Schizosaccharomyces pombe: one gene and its partner. The gene in region 1 interacts genetically with each later gene. Each region holds a gene or a part of one and is shown on either strand. Other genes may lie near its edges.

Evidence for each region.
Region 2: of cig2 (region 1) and rcd1, changing one suppresses a phenotype caused by changing the other (phenotypic suppression), as found in Schizosaccharomyces pombe (one study listed by BioGRID).

Annotation. Positions count from the first base shown.
Region 1 is NC_003424.3:2,708,216-2,714,724, reverse strand, and holds cig2 (G1/S-specific B-type cyclin Cig2), read right to left. Parts: upstream 4,944-6,509; 5' UTR 3,646-4,943; coding exon 2,410-3,645; 3' UTR 1,673-2,409; downstream 1-1,672. Other genes in the region: P2 type calcium transporting P-type ATPase Pmc1, read left to right, coding at 1-1,672; mitochondrial [2Fe-2S] cluster assembly and transfer glutaredoxin Grx5, read right to left, coding at 5,856-5,946, 6,279-6,509. UniProt on the Schizosaccharomyces pombe protein: Essential for the control of the cell cycle at the G2/M and G1/S (mitosis) transition. Interacts with the cdc2 protein kinase to form MPF. Interaction with res2 promotes the phosphorylation of res1 and inhibits MBF-dependent gene transcription.
Region 2 is NC_003424.3:5,416,866-5,421,065, forward strand, and holds rcd1 (CCR4-NOT complex subunit Rcd1), read right to left. Parts: upstream 2,309-4,200; 5' UTR 1,947-2,308; coding exon 1,095-1,946; 3' UTR 501-1,094; downstream 1-500. Other genes in the region: mtq1 (S-adenosylmethionine-dependent methyltransferase), read right to left, coding at 1-415; multidomain vesicle coat component Sec16, read left to right, coding at 3,132-4,200. UniProt on the Schizosaccharomyces pombe protein: A differentiation-controlling factor that is essential for the onset of sexual development. Induces ste11 when sexual development is invoked through nitrogen starvation.

The DNA of each region.
Region 1 (6,509 bases):
TACTTTAGGTTTATGCTATCGTGTGTTTGACTCTTGGCCTCCCAAAGATATTCCCACCAATGACGAGGATAGTTCTAATCCTTTGAAATGGGAAGACGCATTTACAGACATGACTTTCTTAGGATTTTTCGGTATCATGGACCCTATTCGGCCAGATGTACCTTTGGCTGTAAAGGTTTGCCAAGGTGCAGGGGTGACTGTTCGTATGGTTACTGGTGATAATATTGTTACTGCTAAGGCTATTGCTTCGCAGTGCGGAATTTACACAGAGGATGGAATATCCATGGAAGGACCGGAATTTCGATCTCTTTCTGATGAGAAACGCTTAGAAATCTTACCCAAATTAGATGTACTTGCACGCTCATCTCCTTTGGACAAACAGTTATTGATTGAAGGACTGCAGAAGCTTGGTAACGTAGTAGCGGTTACAGGTGATGGTACCAATGATGCGCCTGCACTAAAAAAAGCTAACGTCGGCTTTTCAATGGGTAAATCGGGAACCGAAGTTGCCAAGGAGGCGTCCGATATTATCCTTATGGACGACAACTTCTCGTCAATTGTGAAAGCAATTGCTTGGGGAAGAACCGTTAACGACGCTGTAAAAAAATTCCTGCAATTTCAAATTACCGTGAATATTACGGCTGTTTTCTTGACTATTATCTCTGCTGTTGCCTCGACTGACCAAAGCTCTGTTTTAACTGCTGTTCAGCTTTTGTGGGTTAATTTAATTATGGATACACTTGCTGCTCTTGCACTTGCCACTGACCCTCCTACTCCTGAAGTGTTAAAGAGGAAACCTGAGAAACCAGGTGCATCGCTTTTTACTTTTGACATGTGGAAAATGATTATTTGTCAATCTATGTACCAACTTGCTGTTACTTTGGTGCTACACTTTGCTGGTAATAGTATCTTCCATTACCCTTCCAATACTGCGGACATGAATACTATTGTTTTCAATACCTTTGTCTGGCTCCAGCTGTTTAACGAAATTAACAATCGGAGATTGGATAACAAGCTCAATATTTTTGAACGTATTAACCATAACTTCCTCTTTATTGCTATTTTCGTTATTGTTGCTGGTATCCAAGTTATAATTGTTTTTTTCGGAGGTGCCGCATTCTCCGTAAAAAGAATCGATGGTAAAGGATGGGCGATTTCCATCGTGTTTGGTGTTATCTCTATCCCACTTGGAGCCTTGATTCGTTGTGTACCAAACAATTTCCTAAGAAAGGTCCTTCCGGTTAAGACAATTGACACTGTTTTCTCTTGGATTCTAAATCCTAGGTTCCGTTCTAAGCGCCGTTCAACCGATCATGATGTTGAATCCCTTAGTCTTATCCCGTATGAACCCACATCTCCCAACGAAGTTATTGACTCTATTCGTCATTCCCTTGGCTTCGTTCAACGCATTAGAGGAGGAAGGATACGCCACCTACTCAACAACTCCAAATTTGATAAACAGATGGAAGCGCTTCCTGAACGTCTTCGTCCCCGTGTAAAACAGAGATTTATGAAGATCCGTTCACCTTCTGTTTCTTCAGCTACTAGCGTAGCTTTAATGATTCCTATCTCAACACTTGTTAGTGAAGCCAGCGGACGATTAGGTGGGCATGACATTTGGATTTCTCACAATCGCCAAGCTCTCGATAAAAAAAGCTCAAATGTTCATTAATTTAAGACGAATGTATGAGACAGAATAACAGTGATTCTATTATCGAATTTTTCTTTTTTATTTCCTTATTCTCGTTGGAAATCGCCTTCTTTTTCTATATTTGTTATCAATTAAAAGTTTGTTTCTTAGGTTTAAAAATTCCCTTTTTGTATAGAAAACGAGTCAGCTTTACCTTTTTCCTTATGTCTACTTTCTTTGTTTATCTTTATGAGTTACTTGGTTTTTGCCTATTAATGGTTTAGCCAGTTTGTTATATACCGCTTGAGCTTTAAGTTTTATGAATGAATAAAGAAAACTCCATTAATTAGAAACATGTTGTTTAACAGAAATATGAGGAAACAACGTACACGTATTTTGAAATAAAAAATGTAAACGTAACATAAAGTAAGGAATGAAATTATCGAATACTCTAGAATCAACGGAATCATCTAAAAGACAATGTGTGAGGATTAAGCATCAACACGGTTTGTTTAGTAGACTACAAAATTTTCAATTCTAAAACTCTTGGATAAAACTTGGGTATATGGTATATAATTAAGGACTTAGTTATCAAGGAGGAAAGGCTTGATGACATACTTGAAAACAGTCCTTGCATAAAGATGATAAGATTCAAAGAAAGAGAAGAAGAAAAAGAAGCTCTTTAAAAAGTAAATAAGTTATGATAATAAATAATAAAAGAAGAGCTCAACCTCATATTCAACAGAATATTTGCGTAAGAAAATTTATAAGAGCGTTCGTTAGTGACCATCATTTGTTAAAGAAGAAGACGGTTCTGATTGAAGGTCATCATCGTCCGTACGATTGACTGAGTATCGTTGACGGACGAGTTGATGAACAAAAATACTAGCCTTCAGGAACCTTTTTGAGGAGTATTTTTGGAAAAAGGCTTTGTGTTCTAGAGGCTTGTTATGATAATGAAGCATAATATACGCTATCTCCTTTAATTCATGCTCTTCATACCCACCAGAGCTTTCAACTAACTTTGGCGTCCATGGGCCGCGACGCAATAATCGGCGGCTCAAATACATTGCGGCAGCAGCAATTTTAGACATAGGATATCGTAATAAATCGTGGTCAAACAGATAAATTTCTGTTAGGTATTTCCCCAATGTCCTTGTTTGTGCATCATAACCTTCTGCTTGAGATATTTTGCGAAGAAAATTTAAAGGACTTGGATAGGACAAGTCAAAATTGAGAACATTTAACATATAACGTTCAGCGACACAGACATCTTCTACGGTAAAAGCACCATCAGTCATGTAAACAAAGTTTTGTATCGAAGGACACATAACCTCCTCATATTTGCTAGCGATGAGAAGAGCAGTAATGCCTGTTAATTGAAATTTAGACAAAGAGCATGAACGACGCGACAAGAATCGATCAATTATATTGACTGCCAAATAAAGGGTTTCGGGCATTAAACAAAAGTTGGAATGTATTTCCACCAACCATTCATTCAAAATTTCCCTCATTTTCCAGGTTAATTCTTTTTGTTGGTCCATATATTTTGGATTGGGAAGACACTTTAAATCCAGCTTTCTGATGTACTCAAATATTTCGGGTGCGTATTCCTCAGCCATCAAAGGATTGGAGGATAAATGATCATCAACATTAGAGACTCTGTCCTTTTGTAAAGTTTCTACAGATGGATCCGCATTTTTGCTATAAACTTTCAACTTTTTCACGAATTTAGATTCGACAGGTTTATCAGCTTCTTCATTTGTAGATAAATTAGATTCATCGAACGATCTTTTCGCTTTTTTCGTATCCTTCTCATCAGCATTATTTTTACCTACATTGGAAACATCAGATAGGACAGTTCGACGTGGCAGATTAATTTCAAAATTTGTAGATAATTTTGTCTTCTCAGTCCCTTTTGATAAAGCTTGTTTGCCAACAAGTGTGTTTTCATCTTGATAACTATGCTTATTGATTTTAGAACCAACAGGCTTTGAAATTGAATAGAGAGCCATATGAAATATGGATTGATAAATTACCCTTTTATCAACGTATAGAAATATATCTGATTGTTTGTAACCAAAAATGTCTTCTTTTTATTAAAATAAGGAAACTGTTTTTGGTAAATTAATCTCAATTGACAAGATGGATAAATTAGGGAAATTGAGCGATCGAGAAACAGAAAGCACTTATAGCGAATTTTTAAAGTTTCTCTTTTAAATGAGAATAAATCAATGGGTCCGAATTATTCTATTGTTGTTGATAGGAAGAAAGGGAAAGAAATCGTCCAAACATAAACAAATGAATTGTGTAAACAAACCAAACCAACCTACTGTTGTGGATATAAACGAAAAAAAAAAACAAGCAGATGTAATCAAAATTGAGAAAGAAAAAAAAGTAAAGATAAATTTTTTAACGTTCGATTCGAAAATGAATTTACCTCTTTGAGGTATGCAGAATTAACTCTTATAAAGCACAAGAGCGTAGTTTAAAGGGACAATGATTAACGAAGAGAATTAAAAAGAACACTTCTTTGTAATTAGTTTAGAAAAAGCAAAGTTGAAGGTTTGATAAACAAACGATGGATCAGAAAAAGCAGCACTAAGACGAACAATACAAGCAAATAAGTTTGATAGTTCGAATTTAAAAGAATAACAAATGTAGGTGTTATTTTTCCAGCAAGAAAAGCGAGTAAAACCTTTTCAGCTTGAGGGCGAGAGCAATGCTGAAAGGCTAAATAAATTGCAATTGGGAAGACTGTAGGATAGCAATTGTTGCACTAATATCGAAAGGGGACGATTAATTATGTTTTAATAAGATATAGTGTACTTGTTATAAGAGAAATGACTGTCTTTGGCAAGCGCCTCCTGTAAAAGAGTAGGACAATAAGCGAACCAGAACAAAGAAAACAAAGAAACTTAAAACGGTAAAGTACACAATAGAAACCGACACTTAGCAGCTGAAAAGTGTAAAAAATTAATTAAAAGAAAATAAGTACAGTAGAAATAAGATACTCCGGAGTAAAAACTAGCTTGACACTCAAAATACTGAAAGCTTAATTTACTATTGTTTACAGTTAAAACCAGCTCAACCTAGTATATGGAGCCTAAACTGATCCCTATAGCATGTATTTGAAAAAAGAAATTAGAAAGAAGGAATATTCAAAGAGAAAAGAAGAAACGCAAAAAGCAGCGACAACAAGAGAAGGACTTCAAGGTGGATCCAACCTTTGGTAGAGTCTTGTAAAAGGGAAATTACACTTGTACAAGTGCCTTTGAAGCCTTTCTTGTAACTCAACACAAGTCAAAGTGTCAGTGAAAAAGCAAAAGACAGGCATAGCAAGCATATAAAAGAAGTAAACGCGACGCGACGCGAGAAACGCGCTTTCGCGCAAGCTAAGTTGCGTGCACCTCGTTTTGGCGTGTTTTAGAGCGCGCGCTTTGGTGTAGCGTTTTGTATATTACAATTCACTATGCGCGTGCCGTCATTACATGCTACACAAACTAACGCAATTTGAATAGAATTAAAAAGGGAGAGTTCGCTAATACTTTATATCGCAGTTACACTATAATTCGCTATATGCTGAGCTTGGAAGGAATAATGTTGTTTGTCAAGAAACACAAGCATCTGTTAATAAAAGTTTGGTAAACGTCTCGTAACGTCGATAAGCCAGTACTTTATATAATCAAAGAAGAATTTTTAAATCATATCAGATAACCAATCGTAATGCTTTCTGTGAATTACACCTACCAAGACATTGTTCTGTGCAACAACATAAGCAAAATAAAACAGTATTCAGCAATAGCGCTTTAACATTAAATCTAATTTACGACATTTTTTTTAAAAAAAAAGTCAAGGAATAACAATAAGGCATAAATCACGACACTAATTTCCATTCTCTATGTCATTTGGATGGACATGAACATGAACATGATCGCTTTCAAATTGATATTGAGGTTGATCCAAAAAATAACTTCCGATAAAAATTATTTTTTCTTATAGAGCTCTTTTACATTATTTCCAACATTTTGTCATGAAAGGGCATGAACACAAAAAAGAGGAGAAACAGAATTTCAAAGCTTCATTAAAGAATATCAAGCGTACAGCAAAAAGATAATTGAATAACGTCTGATTGATATACATGGCCTGTGGTGTCAAGTTGACCAATAAACTAAAAAATGCACAAGACCGTGGTACGTTGTGCAAATTAATTTGCAATGTGGACTCAATCCTTTTTAGTAGTTTCCTCTTCACTATCCTTTGGCTGTTCAGGGGCCAAAGCATTTATTTCTTTTAGAATTTTGTGAAGCTCTCCTCTACAGACAAATTGTTAATACAGAAATGTTGACAAGGAGAAATAATTAAATATGAGAGAAAAAATGAGGGAGAGAACAATGTGGCATATATAGACGACGAATTAAAGACACTGATACACTAATAGTTGATTTTTATCCAATGCTTTAAAAGGGAAAGTTCATTTGAAGAAAGAGCGAAAATATAACAGGGTTTTTTTATCTTTAATATCAACTAGAGTGATTAAACAGTTGTAGAATCCTCCTTCATCATCTTTAACATTTCCTATGACACCTCCTCAATCCTCACCGTCTCTCTACCAAATAATAAAAATACAGTTTAAAACATTACTTACGATTTATGCATGGACGCCAAGATATCACTACCGCCCACGAATTCTCCGTTAATATAAAGTTGAGGAATCGTAGGCCAGTCGCTGAACTCCTTTATACCTTCACGTAGCTCATCATTACTCAAAACGTTGTACGTAACTAATTTATCGGAAGCAACGTTTTCTAATGAAAGAATTTGAATCGCCTTTAATGAAAATCCACACATTGGGCGGGTAGGTGTACCTTTCATGAAT
Region 2 (4,200 bases), 2.7 Mb from region 1:
TTAGGTTTGCCAACACAAAGCTTGATATGCAGCCAGACCCTGTACATAAATCGAGAATCTTTAACGGTTTTAATCTCTCGAGTCGATTTAGCTTATCAACCACACGTTCAACCCATTCTTCTGTTTCCCAACGAGGTATTAAAACTCCTTGTTGACAATCTATCTTGATATTACCAAAAGGTTGACTTTTCAGTATATACTGAAGTGGATAGTTTCTTGCTCGAAGTTGACAGGCATTTACTATCTTTTTTCGCAACCCATGTTTGCTAATTTCTGGATACAGCAGCTTTAATTCCTTGCATATCCACGTCCACTCTCTTTTAGCCAAAGATGGATCTCTTGTGGCATGATAAAGAGGGAGTAGGCAAGGGTTTTCTCGATATAAAGCAAATTTAGTAATTCTTGGTAGTCGCATATGACAAACACTATAATTAGGAGGACAAATTATCTCAAATTACTTTTATCTGATTATTTGCTTGAATGAAGTATAGCAGAATTAACGAACGTAAATATAAATCAAATTCTGTTGTCTATTGTACGAATTCTTTAAATTTATTAGAGGTAATCGATGAAACTGAATTGAATATTGTAGAAATAGTATAAGTATATATGATACGAAATAGGAAAAAAGGTGTTTTGGTTAAAAACATTAAATGCGTCGGCGAATGTTATATCTTTTTCTATTTTTTTTTTTAAATTTTGCTGACTCGTAAAAATCATCATTCGTGACGCATTTTAAGGAAAGATTAAGAGAAAAGGATATGAAATCCTGAATCTAACAATTGTAAGCAAAATTAACAGTAAACCCCTGATTTCCTTAAAAAAGCCATCAGAGTAAGTTCTGTCCTGAGGAATAACTTGAGCACATTAAGAGGAGTGAAAAATGACAGGGCAAAAATAATAATAAAGGAAGATATAAGAAAGACACAAGAAAAAATTGGTGACGGACGAATAACACAAAAAATCGCCATATGCCAATCACTTACGGTCACAAATTATGATTGAAAGTAAACCAGATAGGAAACGAAGGGCAGATATTGAAATAATTAATTCAACATTTAAGAAAAGTTTTTTAAAAAAAAAAAAAATAACGATTACTGATTAACAACGGCGACGTCTGATAAGTTGATTAACAATTGGGCAAGACATTTTTTAGTGTTGTGATCATCCTTTAAAACCTGAGCAAAGGTAGCATCACGTAAAGGTTCTGGTAGACAGTGTCTTAGAGCTTCTCTGGCGCGAGGATTGTCACTAAGACGAAGATAGCAACGAATAACATGCTTTAGTAAACGAAAAGCAAAAGAGTCTACAAGCTGCATTACCATGTTGTTCAAAACCGACGCAACTGCATAAAAGCGTTCATATGTTTGACAAATATATTGAAGACCAACGTCGTCACATAAAAATTTTTGTACGATGAAAATCGCAACGGTTTTTGATAATTCAGAACCGTTCTCCATGATTCTGAGACAAAGAGGAATAATTTCTGTAGATAATAAAAAGTTGATTACTTCTGGAGAGTCATTTTTAACTAATGCACCAATCACCCCTAAACTAGTAAGGCGCAGGTATTCAAAAGGTTTGGATTTTGAAAGGGTATTCAAAAACGGGTATAGAAATAAAGTAATGTGTGCATTTAAAAAGTGGATTCTAGTTTCAGGATGAGAAGCGATACACTGGAGTAAAGCTAGCGCGTTGCACACTCTGTTACTAGTTGGTCCTGTAAGTGTGGGTGGATTTAAAAGAGGATAAACGCTGATAATTTCTTGCAACAAAGCCGTCATCACACCATATGAATGCCATAAAATAAGAGCCAAATCTTCATACTGTTCTCGTTTACGAGATAGTTCGACAAGAGCTTGTTCGCGAGATGTCCCAGAAACAAGTTGAATTATCCATTCATAGACAAGTGCTGGTTCATAATTAGGGGATTCCAAGTTTTCCATTTTTTCTAGAATGCGGGAAAGAAATAAAAATGCTATAGTTTATTGTCGAAAAGAATAAAATAAAGAATAATAATTTTATAGCTGCCGGAACTAAAGAGCAACACCTAACGAATTTGTAGTTCAATCCAAAGGATAGAATAATGCACTAAAAGGTAAAGAAAAGGTATTAACGTTAAACGACAGTCAGTAAAGTGCTGAGTGTCGAGAAAATGATAAAGCTTTTAAAATTTTAATGGAATTTCAGTCCTCGTGCTATGCGTGCCAAACAGTATCAACTTGCACAGCAATACTGGACTTAAATAATTTAAAATACAACAATCTTATAAACCTGAACTGCAAATGCTGTTCCGTAGATTTCGCGTGAGAGCAATGGACAAGCACAGTGTTGGCAGGGAATAGCAAACCTACCGCACTGCGCGTTAGAAAAATGCAAGATACATTACTGAGTAATAAGGAGAATCAAATATTTTTAAAGAAAAGTGGGCAAAACGCATTTAGAAAAGGTATTTAACCATTCTTAGCTCGCTTCTAATAGAAGCTATAAAATAACAGAGATATAAGAAAAGGAATTTACCTATGTTATATCTTTGAAAGCCTTTTTTAAAAGTTATTTCTAACGCTTTTGTAAATACTACTTTTCTAAAGATTTGTAAATACATATTCATACCGAATGCGTAACCGTTGATGTTTGCTAATTGCACATCATTTACACTTTCATCAAGAGTAATTTAGTATTCAAACATATAATAACTTGAGCCGTTTCTTCTTCAATAATTGCGTTAATGTTTGAATAGCTTTTTTGTTTACTATATTTACCCTTACGAAGAATTATGAACAACATTCACGAACAATTAATATAGCGTAGTATAAGGATGTATGCTATTCTGCTTCTGACTTTAATCTCTCGATACTGACTGGCGCCATCAACAAACTTCCTACCATTTTCTATATCCTTGTGGTTGATTGTTTTTTATTTGAACCTACCTATTATTATTTTCGATTACTGTTTGTGAAATTTTGGTTGACCATTTCTCATGGAAAGCTAGGGGCCAATTTTTTTCCTACAACTTTGAGCATTGTTTTATCCTCCATTTATTGGTATACTTTGCTGCCTATTTTTCGTTTAAAAAATAAGCTAAATTTTTCGTCTTAGTAATATAATATTGGGCACTAACGTATCAAGGAATGGATATTGAATCAGACCACGAGCCTAAGGAGTCTTCTGTTGATCTTGAAGGACGGCATGATTCTATACGCAAGTCTTTTGAAGCTGACGATATTGATGTGACAGATGAAAACACCATTTTTTCTACCTCTAGAAAAGAACAAAGCACAATTGAACCTATGGATTCCTTTGTTGAAAACAACATAGCCAATAGCTCCTCTCAACAGTCAGTTTCAGAAATTGACATTCAGTTGCCTTCCTCTGAGCCTAAAGAAGGTGTTAAAGAAGAAAGCAACTTAATAGAGAGTAATTCTTTGGACAATGTGCAGGAAATTAATCCTCAAAATACCATTGGCGACAAATCGGCTCACACAGAAGAGGAGTCTTCAAATGATAACTTGGTAAAAATTACTGCTGGAACCATTATTTCTGACATAATGGATGAGCCTGTTGTGGATGAAGACGATAAACTCTCTGAAGAAGACTTGAGCAAGGAAGACTTAGAAACGACTCTTAAGGGTGACGAAAACTATTCATCGTCGCAAAAAGAAATATATGATAATGATGAGACAATTCCTAAACCACCATCTCCAGAAGTCGAAAAGATAGAAACTAGTACTTCAGTTGAGAATGCATACATTACGAACTCTCAATATAATGACACTCTTGATATGGAAGATCAGACATCTGATTTAATTACAACTTTTGAGCATGAAAATGAAGACCATGAAGTCCACGAGGTTCCTTCCATTCACGGAATGGAAGGGACTTTTGAAACCGTAAATCTAACTTCTGAAGCTGGGAATGAAAAAGAGTTTAACAACGATTCTGTAGTATTGAATACGACGCCAAAAGAAATGCAAATTTCATCTTTAGATGCTGTTGACAAACTTGAAGATAAGCCTGTTTCGAACGACAATATCAAAGCCAATATAGAATCGTCGACTACAGTTGATAGGGCTTCATCTCAGCTTGAATCGGAAAATAACGAATCCACTTTTTTTGTACATAACCAAAATTCCTCCGGGCAACATCAAACTTTGGATTTCGTCGCAAGCAAACCCGTTACCGATACCCCTGAGCTTAGTA